3 linked regions of the Diceros bicornis minor genome follow. The protein of the gene in region 3 purifies or fractionates together with the protein of the main gene of each other region. This does not show direct contact. Links are inferred from orthologs where the notes say so. Each region holds a gene or a part of one and is shown on either strand. Other genes may lie near its edges.

Evidence for each region. Proteins that work in one complex are often made in the same cells at the same time.
Region 1: the proteins of ITCH (region 3) and CFLAR purify together in Homo sapiens (affinity purification with western blotting; 8 studies listed by BioGRID). This does not show direct contact. The link is inferred for Diceros bicornis minor from reciprocal best matches to the Homo sapiens genes ITCH and CFLAR.
Region 2: the proteins of ITCH (region 3) and ENTREP1 purify together in Homo sapiens (co-immunoprecipitation; 3 studies listed by BioGRID and IntAct, counting the BioPlex papers as one, with this or other methods). This does not show direct contact. The link is inferred for Diceros bicornis minor from reciprocal best matches to the Homo sapiens genes ITCH and ENTREP1.

What each region holds. Positions count from the first base shown.
Region 1 is NC_080749.1:79,017,646-79,024,748, reverse strand, and holds the start of CFLAR (CASP8 and FADD-like apoptosis regulator), read right to left. Parts: upstream 3,015-7,103; 5' UTR 2,682-3,014; intron 1,928-2,681; exon of another isoform or gene 1,715-1,927; intron 99-1,714; exon of another isoform or gene 1-98. UniProt on the Homo sapiens protein: Apoptosis regulator protein which may function as a crucial link between cell survival and cell death pathways in mammalian cells. Acts as an inhibitor of TNFRSF6 mediated apoptosis.
Region 2 is NC_080761.1:23,821,199-23,829,160, reverse strand, and holds the start of ENTREP1 (endosomal transmembrane epsin interactor 1), read left to right. Parts: upstream 1-4,948; 5' UTR 4,949-4,998; coding exon 4,999-5,415; intron 5,416-7,962. UniProt on the Homo sapiens protein: Functions as an activator of the E3 ubiquitin protein ligase ITCH in the ubiquitination of the CXCL12-activated CXCR4 receptor. Thereby, triggers CXCR4 endocytosis and desensitization, negatively regulating the CXCL12/CXCR4 signaling pathway.
Region 3 is NC_080758.1:25,188,361-25,196,306, forward strand, and holds the start of ITCH (E3 ubiquitin-protein ligase Itchy homolog), read right to left. Parts: upstream 3,005-7,946; 5' UTR 2,926-3,004; intron 150-2,925; exon of another isoform or gene 1-149. UniProt on the Homo sapiens protein: Acts as an Acts as an E3 ubiquitin-protein ligase which accepts ubiquitin from an E2 ubiquitin-conjugating enzyme in the form of a thioester and then directly transfers the ubiquitin to targeted substrates.

The sequences.
Region 1 (7,103 bases), on a different chromosome or scaffold from region 3:
TTCACGCCCGGGCAGGCCCGGCTCCGCCCGCTGGATCTCGGCCGGACACGATCGGACCTGCCGCTGCGGAACCCCGGGTGGAGATACTCCGGGCGGGACGCGGCGGGCATCAAGGCGTGGCCTCCCGGCAGGCGTCCGGCAACCTCTGCCAGCTGAGCCCCTGTGCTGTTCCTCCTCCTCCAGGCAGCCCGCCCGGAACACGCCGCCCACACAAGACTTCAGGCTCCAGAACCCTCCGTGCCCGCACGTCTCCCCGAATAAACTCGGCGCTCTGGGGGCAAAGGGCCCACGTGGCGCCCCGGGGAATTCCGTGCGGCGGCCGAGACCGAGAGGGCGCCGCCGCCGTGCCCACCACTCCACCCCCCGAGAGCCAGGGCGTGACAGCTTCCAACAGACGCCCTGCCACCTCTCAAAAAACGGCCGGCGACGACCCTCCCAACCCCTGCCGCACCGGACTCCCGGGGGGCGGGAGGCAGGGGCGCCCAGCCCCGCGGACCTGCAGGGGGATTCACCTTCGAGGGCGGGTGCAAGACAGTGCGAGAGGATTAAAGAAGTGCCGGTGTCAGTCATAAACAGATGCAAGACAGGGGTCGTTAGAAAACGCAGGACATCCAGCGCAGAAGCTATGAGTAAAACAAGGGTTAACATAAAAAATGAAAACGGTGTGACAAACACATTGAAAATTTCCTTCCAAACCCGAGGTTTTTCTGGGGGGCACTGAGCCAAGTTCTTTGTTCCTACGGTGTTTTTTGTAAGACTGTTTAGAGGGAAAATACCGAACATTCTGTTCCTCTCGTCTGCAGTTTCTTATCTAGAGCAGGTCAAGGCCGCTCTAGGCTCGGTTTTAGATTGTCCGGGCTTTTATTTCGGACATGTCCGAAATGCTGTCCCTTCTGGCACCACTTCTCCTGGGACAAAGTTCAAAAGTCAACAAACGAAAATATCGGAGAGCCCTGGCGTCGCCGAACTTACTTCCTGTTCCCTTCAATCAACACAGTATTGGCCCCATTTCAATGGCCTTTGTTCTATGGCACTGCACACTGCACAGTAAATATTTAAAAAAAGCACACGCCCTTCCGTCAGATCGGGACTGCATCAAGCAAGAACAACCTGAAATCATCTTCCCTTCCCAGTCGTTTTGAAGGGGGAAAAGAGCGGGGCAGAAACAGGTTTATTACAAGGCTTTACAAAAATCTCAGCCAAGCGTTCCGAACGTTGCAAGGCAAGCTTTCCTGGCAACTGGCCGAAACATGTATGCCTGCTTTGAGAAGTAGCCGCCCTGCCCCACCCGGCCGGGCGACCGCGAGCGCCGAGTCCCGCAGGCCGGCTGCCCCGAGGCGCGCGCCCCGCTGCGGGGCGCCCTGCCCGGAGCGACCTGCCCAGCCTTCTGAGCAGCCACCCCCGGGACTGAGCGACCCGACGGTGGCCTCGGTGACAGGACGCGGCCCCGCCCCAGGCCTGCTCCCGCCTCTGCGGCTAGAGTCGGCCCAGGGCTGTGCGGTCCGCGTCCCCGCGGCCTCGGGCGGCCCCCGACAGTCGGGGGGCGGGGGAGGGAACCCCGAGGCCGACTCCACAGACTGAGTCACCCCGCGCGGCCCGCGCCCCCGCCCGCACCCCCGCCGGCCGGCTCCGCGAGGAGCGCGCAGGCCGGACGCCCACCGCGGCGCGGGTCCCGGCCCCCGCGCTCGGGAGCGGCGGGCCGCACGGCACTTACCGTCCTGCCCGCGGCGGGACGCTCCTCCCGGCTTCCCTCCGCGGCGCTCGCAGAGCGCGGGCAAGATGGAGGCGAGAAACCGAAACCCGGAGGCGGACGTGGCGCTCGCCGGCCCGGCCTCCCCGCCTCGCTCGCCCTCGCGGACTTCTCTCAACTTTGACCCCACAGAAGTCGCGCGGCCCGACATTCGCCGTGGTCGGCCCAGAGACCCCGGCACCAGCCCCCAACGAGTCCCTGGCATTGAAAGGCCCGGCTGGTCCAGCAGCTGTTTCCTGTTGTGGCGGATGTGCCTCCCCCCGGGGGGCGGCTGTCCCGAGGCGCAGCAGCGCCGGCGTTGTCAGCCATGGACGACGGGGAGAGGAGCGAGCAGCGACGCGAGGGCGCCTCGTGATTGATCTCTTCGTTCCTAGCCACTAGTTCCTTGGGGCTTTTTTAATTTCTTAACTTTTCTTGAAATAAATTTAAACTCACAGGAGTTGCAAGCACGATACCAGGGAGACTGACTACCGGCCTGACAGCGGGGGCTCGGCTGACCCACGCCCTAGGGAAACTGATGACAGTTATTTTAAAACAAGCAAGCACCCATTTAAAGGCTTGGAAACAGTCCTAAAAGAAGACAGCAAATGAAGAAACATCTATTCAAGAAAATCGACGAAAATTCAGTAAGAAAGGCAAGAATCTGTGTTATTTCAACCAAGACCTCTTGCTCCCTTCACCCTCCCAGCTTGGCAAGGCAGACACCCCACTCCCGACTGCTGGAACCGAGAAGAACACACGGCCTCCTCTTCCCGCGGCTCCCAGTGGGAGGGGCAGGGTGTCAGCAATTCTCACTCGGCCCCTAGCCGCCTGATACTGAGGCCGATCCTGGCTGAGCGGGGTTCCTTTCTTCCACCCAGCCCCACTCGTGGAACAGAGGCTCTACCCTGGGCTGGAGTGCTGAGAATACGGGGGTCCTAAGCACGCTTACCCCAGCTCCTGAAGTGGTGGTTCAAGCCAGAGAAGAGACGCTGAGAGGACTTCAGGTGGCTACAGGCTCCACCAGCTGTTGCTCAGCCCGTGCAGCAGGGATGTGACTCACTGAAGTTGTCATTGTTCCACCTCCTGCTCCTAAACCCTGGCTCCGAGACTGGGCCTAAGGGGAAAGGCAGTCCTTAAAACAGATAGCTCTTAATCTCTTCCCAAAGGTACTGACTTCATTTGCAACAGAACATGGAAAAATTCAAGCCAAAGTGTGCTCTCAAACACCTGGAGGTTTTGGTCATAGGCGATTGGGAGGAGACTCAAGATGTGGGCTGAATTGTAGGCGGACTAGTTTGCAGGAGAAAACCAGAGATAAAAACAGCTCGGGGAGGGCTGGCCCCACGGCTTAGCAGTTAAGTGCTCGCGCTCCGCTGCTGGCTGCCGGGGCCGGCGCGCACTGTCGCACCGCTTCTCCGGCCTAGGCCGTGTCCCACATACAGCAACTAGAAGGATGTGCAGCTATGACATACAACTATCTACTGGGGCTTTGGGGGGGGAAAAATAAATAAATAAAATTATAAAAAAAAAAAAAAGACAGCTGAGGGAAGCCTACCTGTGGTAAGAACAAATATTAAACACTGACCTCATAAACTGTTGCTTCAAAAGGGCTAGAATTTGATTGGATTCATTTGTTGAGCAATTTATGCTCCAGGGCATTGTTGTAAATAATAGAACAATCAGCCAGCTAACTTGCGGAGTTTAACAGCTGGGTGTGGTCAGGCAATGAGAGGAAGAGAGCCCTACCCAAACTACTGGAATACTGGGATAACAACATCAGAAGTTTAAGGGGGTGGCCAGCATACACTTCATTACAGTAATCCAGCCAGCCACTAAACAAATAAACAAGCAAATAACAACAACAAAGGCTGGGGGGAGGGGAGGGGAATGGGGAGGAAACAAGTACCCAGAGTTGCTACAATATATTATATGAAATGTCCACTTTCCAACAAAAAATTACGATGCATGCAAGGAAATGGGGAAGTATGACCTATATACTGGAAAAATAGCAGGCAACAGAAACTGCACGTGAGAGCGACCAGATGTCTGATTTATCAGAAAGCGACCAGATGTTGGATTTATCAGAAAAAGAATTCAAAGTAGCCATTATAAACATGTTCTCAGAACTAAAGAAAAGCATGATTAAAGAAGTAAAGGAAGTTATGACAACAAGCCATATCAAACAGAATATCAACACATATTCAGCAGCTAGAGTAGAGATATGACTCAGAAATTATAAAAATGAGCCAAATAGAAATTCTGGAGTTGAAAAATACAATAACTGAAATAACTTCATTAGGTGTTTAATAATAGACTTGAATTGGCAGAAAAAAAGAATAACTTAAAGTTAGAGGCATAGAGATTATGCAAGCCAAAGAACAGAAAAATGAAGAGATTCTCAGAGAAATGTGAGACATCATTAAGCACACCAACATATGCACACTGAAAGTACCAGAAGTGATACTGGCTAAAGACAAGGTTGACATGAGGGAAGCCATGTTGTAGAAAAGAAACCCTATTGTAACTTTGAATGACCTCTGACAAACTAACCCAGCTGGATATACACCCTCCAGGAGATCTAACTGCTATGTTGATTTTACAACCCTTGCTTGTGCATATACCTCCCAGCTGCCATAAGATGATAACTTTGTTCTTTTGAGTTCCTTAGGAATGTGATGACCCCCAAACAGAGAGTCTATGCTGGTAGCAATCATCAATGAAAACTGAAGGATCTGGTGTGGTGACTCCCAGTCTGTAACACCAGAAGGTCAACATTCCAACATTCCATTCCTAACCCCCTCCTCTATAACCCACCGGCCTATATAACTGCTATAAGATTTGTGCCCCTTTAAGATGGTTTTTTTCAGACATTAGTCGGCCATCTTCACTCTTGCTAGCAAGCTGTAACAAAAAAAGTCCTTTTTCTCCTACCACCTTGCCTCTTGACTATTGGCATGTCTTGCAGCGAGCAGAAGGCCCCACGCTGGGCGGTAACAGAAGGAGAGGAGAGTGGGAAAAGGAGCAAAAAAAACATTCAAAGAAATAATGGCTAAAAACTTCCCAAATGTATTGAAAAACTGTAACCTACACATCCAGGAAGCTGACTCCTCAGCAAAAACAATAGAGGCCAGAAGGCAATGAGATAATATATTCAAAGTGCTCAAAGAAAAAGCCTTTCAACCAATAATCCTATATGCACAAAACTATCTTTTGAAAATAAGATTGGTGAAATAAAGTGAAATACTTTCCCAAATAAACAAAACTGAGAGAATCTGTGCTAGCAGATCTGCCTTACAAGAAATACTAAAAGTTTTTCAGGCTGAAAGCAAGTAACCCCAGACAGTAATTCAAATCCACACCAAAAAACAAAGAACATCAGAAAGGTAATTATATAATTATAAAAGACAGTATAAATGAATATTTTTTCTCCTACTCTTAACTGATTTAAAAAGCAATTTCATAAAATAATATAATGGATTGTTGTGCCTATAATATGTAGAAATTAATATATGTGAAATATATTTGCCAGTAGCAGCACGAAGGATTGGGGTGGAAGCAAAGCTATATTGGGATAAGGAAATGACTACAGATGATAAAGTAATAATTATAAGAGTATATTGCTGGATGTGTAACGTTAATTGATGTTAATACCACAAAGAGGTGGAGAAGGGAATGGAGCTATGTAGGAGTAACATTTCTATATATCACTGGGACTAGCTAGTATAAATCTGAAGCTGCCTCTGATAAGTTAAGATGTATGTGGTAAACCCCAGAGCAACCACTAAAACAATAATTCAAAAATATATAGTGAAAAATCATTAAAGAAATTAAGATGCTGGGGCCAGCCCGGTGCCGCAAGTGCGCACGCTCCGCTGCAGCAGCCCGGGGTTCACCGGTTCAGATCCTGGGTGCATACTGGTGCACTGCTTGGCAAGCCATGCTGTAGTGGTGTCCCATATAAAGTGGAGGAAGATGGGCACAGATGTTAGCCCAGGGCCAGTCTTCCTCAGCAAAAAAAAAAGAAGATTGGCAGATGTTAGCACAGGGTTGATCTCCTCACACACACACAAAAAGAAATTAAGATGCTACATTAGGGGCTGGCCCCATGGCTTAGTGGTTAAGGGCGCACGCTCAGCTACTGGCGGCCCGGGTTTGGATCCCGGGCGCACACCGACGCACTGCTTGTCTGGCCATGCTGAGGCAGCGTCCCACGTACAGCAACTAGAAGGATGTGCAACTATGACATACAACTATCTACTGGGGCTTTGGGGAGAAAAAGGGAGAAAAAGGAGGAGGATTGGCAATAGATGTTAGCTCAGGGCAGGTCTTCCTCAGCAAAAAGAGGAGGGTTAGCATGGATGTTAGCTCAGGGCTGATCTTCCTCATTAAAAAAAAAAAAAAAGATGCTACATTAGAAAATAGTCACGTAATGTAAAAGAAAGCAGAAAGGAGAAATAAAGGAACAGAAAAGACACGAGACATAGAAAATAAATGTAAATAGCACATGCAAATCCAGCTATATCAATAATAACACTAAATGAAAATGGATTAAATAATCCAATCTAAAGGAAAATTTGTTAGACTGGATTTAAAAAAAACCTATGATACAACTCTAACTATCTATAGGAGACACACTTTAGATTCAAAGATACAAATCGATTGAAAATAAAATATGGAAAAAGATATATCATGCAAAAAGCAACCACAAGAATGCTGGAGTAGCTATATTGATATCACACAACATAAACTTCAAAACAAAAAATGTTGCTAGAGATAAAGACATTTTATAACAATAAAAATGTCAATCCATCAGATAGATATAATCATTATAAACATATTTACACCTAATAACAGAACACCAAAACACATGAAGCAAAACTGAAAGAAATAAACAAAAAATAGATGTTTCAACAGTAACAGTTGGAAACTTCGATACTCCACTTTCGATAAGGGATAGAACAACTAGACAGACAATTAACAAGGAAACAGAAGGCTTGAGCAATACTATAAACCAACTAGACCTAACAGCTATAGAACACTCCATCCAATATCAGAATATATATTATCAATATACATGAATATACATTCAAGTGCACATGGAACATTCTCCAGGATACACCATCTGCTAGGCCATAAAATAAACCTCAGTAAATTTAACGGGATAGAAATAATATAAAGTATGTTCTCTGACCAAAATGGAATGAAATTAGAAGTCAAAAACAGGAAAAATTGGTAAAACTCACAAATATGTGGAAATTAAACAACACACACCTAAGTAACCAGTGGTTCAAAGAAGAAATCAAAAGGAAAATCTGAAAATACTCTGAGATGAATGAAAATCAAGCAGAATATACCAAAACTTATGGAGTGC
Region 2 (7,962 bases), on a different chromosome or scaffold from region 3:
AATCCTTAACAACTAGTCTGCACCATTACTTCACAAAAATGGAGTGCCTGATTTGCCCAGCTCTGCTCAGGGTTGCTTTCTTTCTTCCATTTCCTCTCTCTCTCAATTAAAAAAAAAAAAAGTTCCACAGTCCTTTCTCTGCAAAGGGAAATGTTATAATTGAAGTTGCCACTCCATTTCCCCAACACAATCCTCATACAACATAGTCCCTCATGGAAAAACATGAGACCATGGAACCTGAGGCCTTAAAGTTTAGAATAATGAATTTTCAGTTTTGTCCTGGGTATTTTGGGTCTCCAAGATTCCACACCAAAATTCACCTGCTTTTCTTGGTTTCTGCTCTTTTGCTGATCATCTGAGAAACTATGGCGATGAGAATGGCTGAACTTCAAAACTGTAGGCCTAGGGGACACCATCTGATCACATGGTCCAGCCTCAGACAGATGGAGCATCACAAACATGCCCTTGATAGTTGAAGCAACTGAGGCTAGAGAAGCTTGGAGCTGGCTCAAGGTCACAGAGTAGAGGAGGGACTACAACTCAGGATGTCTGGCTCCTAATATGGTACCCTTTCCATTAGAATCCAGGAATCTAAATCCTTCTCCTGCATAGAAATGACCTGGGCAGCAGTGCCTGGCTGAGGACCAGCAAAGCACTCCCCCAACGTATTTACATCTCAGTTTGCTTTCAAGCTAAATCTTCTGCTTTCCCCTTCCAACATATTTGTGACTCGTAGATCCCTCCCATATAAATATTCCCATATAAAAATTCTGGAGTCTGAATAGTACCATCCAGTAATGTTTTCTGGAATGTGTTAAAATGCAGGTTCCCAGGCCTATTATCTGGAGTGTCAGACTCCCTGGCGTGGGGGAAGCCTGTGAACCTGCATTTTGACATGGTTCTATGGTCTGTGGACCACACTTTGAGAAGGTGCTCCAGAGCCACCATTTTAAATGAGGACTTCTGGAGTCCACTGTGCCTTTCTCAGAGAAGCTCTTCTCTTTGTAAAATATAAGAACTGGAGTCAGGTTGCCAGGGAACGTGTTTTGAGGAAAGAGTTTGTTCAGCAGCTCCCACTCCAGCGGGGACTAACCTCCTGTAATTAGCTGACAGGTTGGGTCTTCTGAGAAAGGGTGGGAGGAACTGAGGAGTTTGTTTAAAGGTGTCCAGTGAAACCTGAGCGAAAGAGCCCAAACTCCTGAGTGGTGAAGGTTTTGAGTGCGGGGAGTGGAAAAGAAGGTACAGGGAAGGGAAGAATGGGTGGAAATTTCTCCTTGGAATTTGGCTTTGATCTTGAGGAAAGCTGACAGCTGGGATCCACTGAACGATACACTACAACTATTGTTTCCTTGAACTTTCACCTACATTAATGAAATGTCTGGGTCAAGTTTTCCATACGTTCTTCCTCACTTTATTTTTAATTTCTTTGGTAAGGGCTTATTGAGATATAATTCACATGTATCTTTATTGAAATACAATTCACCTATTTAAATTAGTGTACAATTCAATGGTTTTTAGTATATTCACAGAGTTGTGCAATCATCACCACAATCGATTTTAGAACATTTTTTCTCCTCAAAAAGTTACCCCCTACCCTTAGCAATCACCCTCCCCACATTCAATCTCCCCATTCCCCACCCCTAAGTAACCATTAATCTACTTTCTGTCTCTATGGATTTGTCCATTCTGGAGATTTAAAAAAAAATTTTTTATTGATGTCATAGTAGTTTATAACGTTGTGAAATTTTAGTTGTACGTTATTGTTTGTGAGTCACTGTATAAATGCATCCTTTCCCCCCTTATGCCCACCCCACAACCCCCTTGCCCGTGGTAACCACCACACAGTTCTCTCTGTCTGTGTGTTAATTTTCCACTTATGAGTGAAATCATGTGGTGTTTGTCTTTCTCTGGAGATTTCATATGAATGGAATCATATAATATGTGGTCTTTTGTGACTGGCTTCTTTCACTTAGCATTATGTTTTCAAGGTTCATTTACGCTGTAGCACGTATCAGTGCTCCATTTCTTTTATTGCTGAAAATATTCCATGGCATGAATTACCACATTTTGTTTATCCATTCATCCATAATACCGCATTTTGTTTACCCATTCATCCACACTTGGGTTGCTTCTACCTTTCGGCTATTTTGAATAATGCTATTTGTGTACAAGTTGTGGTGTGACATATGTTTTCATTTCTCTTGAGTATATACCTAGGAATGGAATTACTGGGTCAAATGATAACTCTAACTTTCTGAGGAAATGTCAAACTGTTTTCCAAAGCCTCAAGCCAACCTGAAATCAATAGATCTGAATCATCCTCTAAGAGTTTAGTTACAGGGCCGGCCCCATGGCTTGGCGGTTAAGTGCACGCACTCCGCTACTGGCGGCCTGGGGTTCAGATCCCAGGCGCGCACCGACGCACCGCTTCTCTGGCCATGCTGAGGCCGCGTCCCACATACAGCAACTAGAAGGATGTGCAACTATAACATACAACTATCTACTGGGGCTTTTGGGGGGGGAGGAAGGAGGAGGATTGGCAATAGATGTTAGCTCAGAGCCGGTCTTCCTCAGCAAAAAGAGGAGGATTAGCATGGATGTTAGCTCAGGGCTGATCTTTCTCACAAAAAAAAAAAAAAAAAAAAAAGAGTTTAGTTACATACAGCTCAGCTTGATGAGGTCTAAGGACTTATGGTAAGCAAGTGTTTAGGGAATGCAAAGAATCAAGCCTGGGTTACAAATCCAAACCTCAAATACTTGAGTGTTAATACTTGAGTGTTATTTGGCATAATCTTAAAGTTTGGGGCAATGTTACATGGATTTGTGTTTATGATAAGCTGAAAAAGAAACTCACAGCTATAAATGTGGCCGCTAATAAAAAAAGAAAGCTACAGCACAACTCTTAATTAGCAGCTTTAGAAAGGTTTAGTTGCCTGAAAAAATAACTAAAGTTATTGTATAAAACTATCCATGGATTTTAATTACCTCTGCTATCACCTGTTTCTATATAGGGACATACACAAAAAATTTAAGGGCAAAGTACTTAGAAATACTTTAAAGTATTTAAGTATAAAATACAGAGAAATGCACAAAGTGTAACTCCATGAATTTTCTCAGAATGAATCCCACCCATGTAACTAGCACCCACAGCAAGAAACAGATGGTTATCAGCCCCCCGGAACTGTCTCTTCCAGTCATTAGCCCTCCAAAGGGAGGGAGGACATCTGACTTCTAGCATCAACATTCCTAGACACAAAGAATACATTTTTAATAGTACACTTCTGGTGTCAAGGATTAGATCAGTGGAATAGATTTGTTAAGTTGACAGAATTTCTCAAGACTCACTCAGACGTTTTATATTGCACAGTGCAGTAGAATCTTGAAAATTAAATACCTTTAAGCTTGTGTTTAAAATATAAGGTATAAACTCAGTACACAAGAAGCTTTTAATTTAACATCGCCTGCAATTTAAGAACATGTACTGCAAGACATTTTTAAAGTGCATGAAACAAACATACTTGAAACGTTTATTTTAAAAGACAGCTCCTTTTTTCTCCAGGATTTGAAGTTTATTTCCAAGAGGAGTTTGTAAAAGAAGTCTTAGGGACTATTAATCACAGGTGCTTTAAGAATTCAAAAAGTGTATATGTAAACACACATGCACATTAGCAATGTGGGTTGAAGTAAGTAATGACCAAAATAAATACTGTATAGCCTTTGCAAGCAGAGCATAAAAATGGATACACATTTCCCTTGGTTTATTGGGTAGCAGAATGTTAAATACCCTCATCTTCCTGATAAAATGAGTTGCCTGATACTGAGACTGACACTGCAAAATGACACTGCTCAGGTTTTTAACCTGGAAAAAATATATTATAATAGTTTTATGTATAAGAACACTTTCACACATAAGAATTCATTGGAGAGAAAGGTATACTATTAGGGAAAACCATTTTAGAAGGCGAATCATCTTTTTTGTTTTTTAAGGCTCTAATATGTCTTATAAATTACCAAAAACAGATTAGGATTTTATTAGGATATTTCTTCGGAAATTTCAGGATTCTATGTTCTACCAGGTGATACCTAATACAGCTCAGGACTCAAGGGGAGGCGGACACAGAGTGTAACCCTTGCCACACGCTCCAGATCGCCCCCGGTTCCTTCTTTCCGGATGCTGGATACTTACTTCCAACGTAACCTCGTGCTCACTCTGGCTCCTACCCTGGTGCGGGGAAAGCATCCCTGCCCGCTTCCCTCCCCACCCCCTCCCCCACTTTCAGGCGGCGGGCTGCGGCGCAGGGTCAGCGCCCGGAAGCCCAGAGCTAGTGGTCAGTTCGCTCTGCTTCGTCCTTCCCTGAAAGCCGGCAACTTAGACTTTTCCCACCAAGTCACCCATAGCCCCTCCTCCTGCCTTCACCCCCGCCCTGGGGGGAAAAAGTTTAAAGCCGGACTCCCTTCACATTAAAGGTTGCCGGGGGCCCCCTCTTGGCTGGACCGGAAGGGGGCAAGGGTCCACAGCGCTTCTCCTGCGCTCCTGTCCTGCCCCAGCTCGGCGGGTGGGGGACAGCCGTCGGCCGCCAGCTCCGACGCACCCTGACCGCGAAGTCCTTCCTAGCCCGAGGGACCTATATAAAAAATTGGGGCTGGGCACCTTTCCTGGACCCCAGGGAGCGGGCGCAGGTTCTGCCGTGACCCAAAGGCTGCAGCAGCCGCGCGGCGCGAGCGCAGGGCGCGCGTGGGTGTGTGTGGGGGTGACAGTGAGAGTGCGCTGGGAGCCGGCCGGGGGCGGACCCGCCGAGTGGCAGGTGGGTGCGGCCGGCGGGAGCCCGGGCAGCGGTGGCGGCGGCAGCAGCAGCAGCAGCAAGTGGTTGGGCCGTGCGCATTTCTTTCCCTCCCCCTCGGCCTCGGAGCCCGCCCGCGGTGCCCAGTGCGCGGCGCCCGCGGCTCCGCTCCGCGTCCCCTCCCCGCCGCCGCCGGCCGCTCTTTCCCCGCCCGTCCATGTCCCTGCCCGTGGTGCTCCCGGGCTCCTGCTGCCCGGTGGCCGGGCTCTCCGGCGGGCCGCAGGCCGGGGGCCCGGGCGCCGCGGCCGCCACCGCCCAGGAGCCGCCGCTGCCCCCGCTGCGGCCACGCTGGCCCCGGGCCGCGCTGCAGCCCCCGGCGCGGCCTCGCTGCGTGGCCACCGCCGCCGCCGCCGGGGTGCTGGCCGCGCCGCCCGCGCTCTCCTCCCGCCGGGCCGCCGCCGCCGCCGCCGCCGCGGCCCCGGGCGCAGCGCTGCTCCCCGCTCGCCCGCTGTTGTCGCTCGGGCTGCTGCAGCTGATCCTGGGCTGCTGCATGGTGGCACTCAGCTTCGGGGCACTGTCGCTGAGCAGCTCTCCGCAGGTGAAGAACTCGTGCCCGTTCTGGGCCGGCTCCTCGGTGAGTGCCGCACGCGCCCCGCTGGCCTCGGCAGGGCCACCCCAGGAGCAGGGGGCTCTGGCCGGTCCCGTCCAGTGCCCTGCGATTGCCCACCCCAGGGCTGCAGTGACAGAGCACAGTCCTTCAAGCCAGTTGAAGTTTTGGAGGCGTTAAGGCTGGAAAAAAAGGCTGAGAGAGAGTGGAGTTCAGGGGCGAATGGGTTGCACCTAGACAGTGTCTGTTCCTCGCAGGCTAAAGGATTTTATTGTCTCTGTCAAGCTAATACAATAAAACAGATTTCCAGCTTTTTAGGAGTTTGGAAGGATGGGGTGGGTGGCAGGAAATTGGAGGAAAATGATTAAACTTCTGTCGGCCACTGAGTATTTATTTCGCTGACAGTGTCCGTGCGGGGAGGCTAGAGATTTTGATCAGTGTTTGTTCACTAATGTATCAACAGTGCCGGGCACATAGTAGGTTTATTTGTGAGATGGATGTGTGACAGCTTGACTGGGGCACGTCACGTATTTTATTCTACTTGAAAGCACGCGTAAATGTGAAATGTATCTGGTGTCGGATGGCTCCACTGTATTTGGGAACGAGTTCAGGAGTTAATGACAGGGTGTGTGTAAACGCGCGCTTGTAGCTGGCCTTTATGACTGAGGACCCTAATCCCCCAGTCTGTTCCTGGAGCCACGCAGTCTGCTGTCGTTACGCGTGAGCTCGCCAAGGCCCCCAGGAGCGCGCGGCGGCTGGCTGGAGCAGTCTGCCTCCCTCAGCTTCCTGGCCCTGCTTCTTCCACCGGGGACCAGCCTGGAGCTTCTGTGGTCACCGGGTGGCTACTCCTCCCTGCCTCCTAACCATGTCACAGCTTGCAAGGCGTCCAGCCTCTTGAGATTTGCCCCGGGGTTGAGAGTTGGAAACAAGTCTTTGTGGAATGACTGTGGAAGATGAGTGTTTTAAAGTAAAAGACCTTCTTATGAACGAAATCTCCAAGTCTGGCAGCGCCTCTAGTTCTAAGATCTGTAATGAAGGAATGTTCTGAATGCGTAAAAACTGTCCTTTTGGCTGTCCACACATACCCAGATTCAGGACCAAATTTTAAGAATATAGGGAGAACTAATGGAACCCAAAGTAATTCTTTGAAGAAGAACATTAAGTACCTTGAGCCTGGCCTGATGTTTTATTCTTAAACTGGTGCCCATTTGCTCTCCTTAAATACTTGGATACTGAGTGATCTTACTGTGGTACAATCCAGCTCCAGTAACTGGAGTTCACACTCTGTGCATCATGTAAAAGGAATGCTCCCTCCTGGTCCTGCCCTTGGGCTCTCCTGCTGGCCCCCCTGGGTGTTCTTTAAAACTCCAGGAGGAAGGGTATTCCCAACAGGGTAGGGATTTTATCCATTATGCTCTCTAGTCCTCTTCTCAGACTAAATTCAGCCAAATGGTGGGTGCATTTCATTTCTCTAAATACCATAGGCTGGAAGTGAATCTTGCATACATTTTTAGGGATTTGCTTTTTGTAAAATCATAATCTCTTTGTCTTCTCAAATATAGCTAGTTCAGGTTATCGAAAACTAATTTTTCCCTTATAAAATTAAACCCCAAAATTATTGTACAATTGTGAATTATTTCAGAGGTAAATGCACTTAGATGTTAGTCAAGCCACAGTTGGATTTGATGAAGTATATTAAAAAAAGGCCGTCAGCCAGAAGATAAAGGCTATTAACCTGGGCCTGATGGCTGGGCGTCCTTGTCTCCAGGACCCAGCAAACCAGAGCAGGGAAAGACTCGGTGTTTTGGAACTAAGTTCTCTTCTATAGGGTCGTTTTCTACACCTTGCCTGCCAGCTCCACGTGCAAACCGGCAGCTGTTCGTTTTTCTTAGTTTTTGTGGCCTGTTTCTGAGAGTAACCTCAGAATTTGCAGAGTGACAACAGAACCGACAGATGTTGCATCTCTAGAACAATTAAATAGGATGTGAGGATAGCACCAGACACCGTGACTCTCTTGGTGTTTTAGGAAAAAGTCTCACCAGTAGTTTATGTATGTGAGAGAAGTTTTTTTTTTTTAACTTTGCATTATGAAAAATTTTAAATTTATTCAAACACTGTACAGTGAACCGTAATATCCCCCTCGCCAGCTCCAACAATTGTTTCATCCGTACCCCTTCCTGGCTCTAGTGCTGCCTCTCTGTGTTCTGATAACTCTAGGAGGATGGGTGTTCCAAGCGAGGTAGGAATTAGCTCCATCATGCTCCCTAATCCATTTGTCAGATTAACTTCCCATATTATTTTGAAGCAAATTTCAGACATCACATCGTTTCATTCGTAAATATTTCAATATGTTTATATTTTTAAAAAGAAAATGTAAACAGAATAGAGAGACAGCATAGAAGTGACCATAAGAGCCCCCCTCCACTTTTTTTTTTTAAGATTTTATTTACTTATTTATTTTGCCCCCAAAGCCCCAGTAGATAGTTGTATGTCATAGCTGCACATCCTTCTAGTTGCTGTATGTGGGACGCGGCCTCAGCATGGCCGGAGAAGCCGTGCGTCACTGCACGCCCA
Region 3 (7,946 bases):
CTTTTTTTTCTTTTGATAAAATATCCAAAGCTCTTTAGTAGCACACATTCATCTTGGTACACTGGAGAATAATAGAATAAGAGTTACAAAACTTAGCTCTAGTTCTAGCTCTAGTTCTAGCTCTGATTCTTAACTAGTTTTAGGTAAATTATTTAACCTCCTTAGGACATTTTTTTTTAAAACAAACAGAAAACCAAGAGGTTGGACTAGTCTAAGAATAGTATATACCTGGCACATATACCACCCACTAGATAACTGTGCCCGCAGGAGGCATCACCAATCAATCATAAGTCACTTTCCCAGAGAACCCATATGACCAAAATCCCTCTCAATACAGTGCTTCTGGCAGCTACTTCAAAGCAGAGTTGGCCCATAAACCATATTTGCCACTGTATAATCTCTGCAATCTCTTGCAACTCTAAAATTCTAAGACCAAGTTTCTGAGTGGGAGAAAAACTTCAAACAAGCTTAGATCACCGTTGATAGTCATAAATTTCAGTCTTATCTCCTAATTCTCCTCCAAATTGCACCCAATCTCGTTCTAATTTTTTCAAAGATGCTAATGAACAATACACTCCAATACCATTAACATATTTAACCTGGCAATATAATTCAGGCTTGCTAATGGGTTCTTTTGACAGAAAAGGAGTCCTTTGCCCAGACTGTCCCTAAAAAATCCTCATCCAAAAATATGGCAACAATATTACACTAGGAAAGAACTAAACTCAAACCCTTAAACATCCCCACAGCCTCTGTCCAAGGTCAAGGCTTTTCACCTCTCACCTAGACCTCTGCAATGGCCACTCTTCCATCCCTTCACTCTTATCACCAGAGCAATCTTTCTGAAACACACACATACTCATCCCACTTTCCTGTTTAAAAATTTGCATCTATTGCTAACAACATAAAACTCAAGTTTTTTAGCATTATACTTAGAACTTTTCATATAGTTGCCTCCTTTGACCTTTCTGGCCTCATGTCTCACATGCTCTCCTTCCTCATTCCACTCCCTGCTCTCTGAACCCTTTTTCTTCTACAATCCTCTGCATTTACAAACAGCATTAAGGTTTCTTCCTTTATCTGCCTTGTCCTTCCTTTTCCCCATCCCTATCACACTCCTACTCATCATCTAAGACCCAACTTAGGTCCACAGGCAGATTCTGCCTCCTTCTGTGGCCAACCCCCAGATAGAACAGGTCACTTCCTCATCTGTCTCCAAGTTTTTTGAGCTGTCCTAGGTATGCTCACAGTATTGTTTGCCTCAGTGGTTCCCAACACCATCAGAATTACCTGAGGCATGTTGTAAAAATAAACTCCTTAGAGCCAACACAGGCATACTAAATCAATCTCAGGAGACAAGACCCCGGAAATTCTACTTTTAACAATCTTCCCTAATTATTCTAATGGTCAAATTTGGGGACTACCGGTCTGTCTCTTCCAATAGGTGTAAAGATGTGTTTTTTAAAAGAATGTAGAAATGATTTACTCTAGAATACACTGAAGAAGTATTCTGCACTTGCTTTTTATTTCATATCATAATCCTTGTTGACTTGATTCATATGCTGAAGATGAAGGAATTCCTTTTGGACTCACACCCAAAAACCTTACATTCACTGTTCAAAAAAAACAGTTGAATTTCCACCTTCATTTCTAAATCTTAAAAATGAAGTAATTGTACCTTGAGTAAACCTATGAATACACAGTGCAGGCGCTCACCAGATCTGCCACGAGAACTTCATTTCAGCCGAGAAACAAATCCTTAGCAGATTTTGAGAGTGGAAATACACTGCCTCTACATACTTCCTTAAAATCGAATTATATTAGGAATAGATGCCGGAGACCCCAACTAAGTGCCAATGATAGGCGGCTGGCTCCAGCGCCTCATTAATTTTCAAAGACAAGTCCCACTCTTCCTTCCCCACCCCTCACTCCCCCAAAAAAGTATACTGAAGCTGTAAAATAATGGCAGAAAATGTAACACGATTAAAGATACAAATGTAACCAAGAAAACAAGTTGGGTTGTTACCGGGAATCGTGAATTTCGGGTGGTTTGCAAGTTCACCTGGTTACATCTCGGACTAACGTTAGGCCCAAAGTCTACTTCGGGCGCACGGTCCCTGTGTTTATCTCTCTTTAACTCGCTGCCCGGAAATAAATCTTAAAACTTGAGGTCCCTACGAAGTCATGTCCTCATCATGTTTTGACCCTTATAATACGTTCACGGCTACTTTTTTCTTTTCTCTGCTAAAGGAACGGACACTCTCAGGAAGGAGGACAGTGACAGCTCCACGTCTGCAAAACTCGGCGCCGGGAGGCGCCGGCAGGGTCGGGGCGGCGGGAGCCGAGCAGGGCGCCCGGGCCGGGACCACCACGCTGGGGGACAATGGAAGGAGGAGGGGACTGGAAAAGACAAGGGTAAGTAGCCGCTGTGCTGGGCCCCCCTCGCGACTGGGGGCTCCAAAAAGTCTCGAGAAGGCCAGCCGGGTGGCAGGTGGGCCTCGCCGCCGCCCCTCACAAGGCCACGTCGCGCGCGCCGGCCGCTGCCGCCGGGCCCCGCGCGTAGGCCCGGCGGCGGGAGAGTGGCCCCCGGGCGGGGCTGAGGGGCGCGGGGCCGGACCCTGCCGGCGTCCGCCGCGGCCCAGCCCTCCCACAACTTGGCGCCGGCGAGGCGAGGGGCTCCGGACGCCTCAGCCCGACAGTGGCCACTCGGTGCGTCCGGCCGTCCCACCTCCCGCCCGGCCCGGGCCACTAGCCCGAGCTCCTCGCGCCCCCAGGGGCACCGGCTCTGAGGGAAGAGCGAGGAGCCAAGGTTCTGGGGGCCCGGCTCGCGCGCCACATTTCTCCATTCCTCGTTCTCCTCGGACACTCTCATCCGGGCACCCCACTCTCCCCAGAACTGCCCCCAGCCCGCCTGCGGGTATTTACCGGGACTCGGGGCGGCGGCGACTCTTCAGTCCCTCGACTAAGATGGCAGCCGGTCCCGAGCCCCGACTACAGGGACCGGAGCCACTAGGCCGCCAATGCGCAGGCGCCTCCTCCTCGGGAGCGACCCCGACTACAAACCCCAGAAGGCCTGGCGAACTTGCCAGCCTCTGGCCGGAAGAGCTGGCTGGAGCTGGTGAGCGCAGCTAAATCGGAGTTTGCTCCCTCCCAGCGCTTCTAGGCCCTTTTTTAATCCCTCCCGCCCCACCCCCACCCCCACCCCCACCCCCACCCCCAACCTCTAAAGACTGTAGCTTCGGTTCCGAAACTCTAGTGTGCGTCAGAATCAGCTGAAAGCCTTGCTAAAACTTAGACTCCTGGGCCCCCCCTCCTCCCCCAGAGTTTCTAATTCAGCTGATCTTAGATGGCCTGTATTAATTTACATTTCTAACAAGCTCTCTGGTGTGCCACTGGTGGAGGATCACACTTTGAGAACCAAGATTTGTCCTTAAGGAAGTGCACTCGGGAGTTACATTGATCCGGTTCAAATATACCTTTTAACAGGGTGCGCTTAGGGTTGATGAAAATAGCTTACACGTAATTGGTGCCAACAGGGCAGGTGTTCCAAGAGCTACTCAATAAACTTCTTTAAACCTCACAACAAACTTATGAGGGAAGTATCTTCACTATCCTCACTCTACAGATGCATAAACAAAGTCACAGCTGGATAAGAACCCAGGCAGTCTGGCTTCAGAGTCCATCCTCTTAACTTCCTTCATGAGTTGTTTATGAGAATAGATAGGCTAAGTAGACTCAGAGGAACAACTAAGTGCTTAGTAATTAGTAACCTTTGCTATTATTGTTTAGCCTGTTTCCTCCTAGTGAAAATAATATTTCACCATCTAGAAAGTCACTTAACGCTTTTCAAAATACTTTCAAATCCTGTATGTTAATGTTTCCTGCAATATGCCTTAGGAGAGTGTGTTAAAGATACAGATTCCTGCTTACAGATCTTCTTAAAGATACAGATACAGTATCCTGTACTCTTGGGGGGGTCCTACCTATTCAAATTCTCTAGGACAGTGGTTCTCAAACTTTAGTGCCCATCAGAATCACCTGGAGGATTTGTTAAACCTTAGTTTGCTAGACTCCACCCCCAGAATTTCCGATTCAGTAGGTCTAGAATGGGGCCTCAGAATTTGCATTTTTAACCACAGACTACACTTGGAGAGTCACTGCTGTAGGGCAGTGTTTCTCAACCTTTTTTTAATCATCTCTCTAAGGAACATTTTAAGACATTTTTTTCTCTAGTCATTCCCCCCATGAAATTTTAATATCACAAGTATACTGTATATCTATTTATGTACTATATGTATATCTGTGCTTTTACATGAAAAAGTAAAAAAATTTTCCTCTCCACCCCCAACCAATTTTTGTCCCATTACGAATGTATGCTCTGGGCCGGCCCCGTGGCTTAGCGGTTAAGTGCTCGCGCTCTGCGGCTGGCGGCCCGGGGTTCAGATCCCGGGTACGCACCAACACACTGCTTCTCCGGCCATGCTGAGGCCGTGTCCCACATACAGCAACTAGAAGGATGTGCAGCTATGACATACAACTATCTACTGGGGCTTTGGGGGAAAAAAAAAAATGAGGAGGATTGACAATAGATGTTAGCTCAGAGCCGGTCTTCCTCAGCAAAAAGAGGAGGATTAGCATGGATGTTAGCTCAGGGCTGATCTTCCTCACACACACGAGGGAAAAAAAAAAAAAGAATGTATGCTCTGGGAAACGTGGGTTTTTAAAGTAGTGCCCCAGGTGATTTTTGTCAGCAGGCAGGTTTGGGAAACACTATCTCTTTAAGGTATGAGGTGTTTTTATGACTATTATACGGAGAAGGAAATGAGTCTCAAGGAAATTAGATGACTGATCCAAGATCACTCAGCCAGGAGCTAGGGATCCAACCAAAGTCCTCTGGCTCCAGATTCTGTCTTCATCTACAATTTTTTAAACTATATAATGTTAGGCAAAACTAATCTACGGTGTTTGAAGTCAGGATAGTGAATCCCTTTGAGGGGAAGTAGTACCAGGAAGGAGACACAAAGGGGCTTCTCAGGGCTGGTAATAATGTGGTGTGCTGGTACACAGGCATGTTCACTTTGTGAAAATTCATCAAGCTGTATACTTATGATTTGTGTATTTTTCTGTATTTGTATTATATGTCAATAAAAGTTTACCTCAAGCAAATATATGTTTTAAATATATGCTCATTTTGTTCCAAAAATGCATCTCTTTCTACTACATGCCAAAGATTCTCAAACTTTAGAGTGCCTCAGAATCACCTGGAGGGCTTATTAAAACTCAGATTGTCAGCTATCACTCCCAGAATTTCTGAGTTAGGAAGTTCTGGAATCAGGCCTAAGAATTTGCATTTCTTTCTTCTTTTTTTTGTGAGGAAGATCAGCTGTGAGCTAACATCCATGCCAATCCTCCTCTTTTTGCTGAGGAAGACCAGCCCTGAGCTAACATCTATCGGCAATCCTCCTCCTTTTTTTCCCCTTTTCTCCCCAAAGCCCCAGTAGATAGTTGTACGTCATAGTTGCACATCCCTCTAGTTGCTGTATGTGGGATGCTGCCTCAGTATGGCCAGACAAGCAGTGTGTCGATGTGCGCCCAAGATCTGAACCCGGGCCACCAGTAGCGGAGCGCATGCACTTAACTGCTAAGCCATGGGGCCGGCCCCAGAATTTGCATTCCTAACAAGTTCCCCAGGTGATGTTGATGCCCAAGGATCACATTTTGAGAAACACTGAACTATGCCAACCTAACTTTCATGCTAATGCCAACAGGGTGGAATAGCTCTGCCCTGGGAGGCAGTACTTGGAAGAGTTAATAATTTAGGCTTATTCAGAGGCATATGGATCAAAGATCTAGTCCTGACTATCAACAACTTGCTTCAGGGTCTTAGGCAAGTGCCTTGAAACTCAGTGTCCAATCTCTAAATGGAAATAATAGATCCTACTTCCTAGGATGTTGTGAAGACTCTAGAAAATCCAGGTAGGTAGTTGGTGGTTCTCCAAAGAGAAGTTGAGTTGGTGAGGGCAGAGAATCCTCTCCTGGCCATTTCCTCATCTCTCATGCTGTGCAGTTTTGGCCCCCAGGTTCCCTGATCCAGAAGTCAGCCTAGTCTTGGCCTGGTCAGAATGCAGGACCTGTGGCTGATAAAGCTGTGAGCCACCTACACCCTCATTCTGCCTTGGACACCCAGGTCAGCCTGGGACAAGACCCAGCCCTGCTAGAGCAGGGGCAGGAAGCCTGGAGGAGGCCCCCACCACCAAGAGAAGGAGCTTCCCAGGCCTCTGGGGAGAGTAGGGGGGAAGGAAGCAGGGATGCAGAGCTGGAATGAGTGGGGAGAGAAACCCCAGTGGCCCACACACAGCCTGTCACTTACTGGCTTTCCCTGCAGAAGGCTTAGTCACGCTGTTGTCCCTCTCTTCCCTGAAGCCACTCTGTATTCAACTGCCAGAGACAGGGGAAGACTTGAAATGTGGCAGAGCTGTGTGTAGATGGAGAGAAGACACTGGATGGGGCTTCTGGGAATCTAAGATCTGGATCCAAAGAGACCACTTAAGACCTGAGGTCATGGCTCCATCAATTCCCCTCTTTAAGACTGTTTCTTCATTTGCAAAATGAGGCGCACACATTCTGCAGTTACTCCCTCCCAGGTAAGGTTGTCAGATTTAGAAAATAAAAATATAGGATGCTCAGTTAAATTTGAATTTCAGGCAAACAATGAATAATTTTTTTAGCATAAATATGTAACAAATATTGGTATAACATACTTATACTAAAATTATTTTCCTTGTTTATCTAAAATTCAAATTTAACTGGGCATCCTGCATTTTCTTTGGCAACTCGACATCCAGGGCTTTATCCACTTTTTCCATCAGGGGTAGTAAACTTAAATTCCTCCAAGGGCCAGTAAGGAAAAATAAAAAATCACAGCTAATATTTACTTTCTACATTGTAATTACCAAATAGAGTCTTAAGTGTTTTATATATACTATCTCATTGAATACTCTCAGCAACCTAGGTGGGGTGCTCAGTTTCCACATCTATAAGATGAGAATGGTAATATAACCTATATCGTGGGTCATTGTGAGGATTAAATTAGCATGTGAAACACTTAGAACAATGCCAGGCAAGCACTCAATAAGCAATAGCTATACTTTTTCCCATTATACAGATGGGGAAACTGAGTCTCAAAGAGGCAGGATAACCAGCTTGTGGTCATACATCTAGCAAGTAGCAAAGCCAGGATTTGAACTCAGGTCTAAAACATTGGCAACCAATTCAAAACATTTAAAACTCCTGCATGTTTCATCAGCAGGAAAATGGATGAAGTGTGGTATATTCATTCATACAGTAGAATACTACTAAGCAATAAAAAAGAACAATTACTAATATACAAAATAAAGCAGATAAGTCTCAGACATTAAGCTAAAAGAAAGAAGCCTTATACAAAGGAGTATACACTGTAAGATTCTATTTGTACTATGTTCTAGAATAGGTAAATCAATTCAATGGTGAAAGAAAATCACAATAGTGGTTGCCTCTGGAGCGAGAGAATTTTCTGGGGTGTTGAAAAGGTTCTTTCAGTATCTTGTTAGGGGTGTGGATTATGTGGTGGTACACATTTGTCAAAACAGTAAATGGTCTACTTGAGATATATGTGTATCATTGTATATAAATTTAACCTAAAAAAAATATATTGAACTCTAGTTAGTGACAGGCGTGCTGAAGTGTTAAGAGGTAGAGTGAACTCTAGAGCTTCTTTGAAATGCATCAAAAAATGAGATGGATGTGTGGAGAGAGAGATGAATGAATAAATATGTGACAAAGCAAATATAGCAAACTGTTAATTCTAGAACCTAGGTGGTGGAAAGTTGATGTTCACGGTACAATTCTTTCAGCTATTCTCTATGTTTGAAATTTTTCATGATAAAATGTTGCAGGGGGTGGGGGAA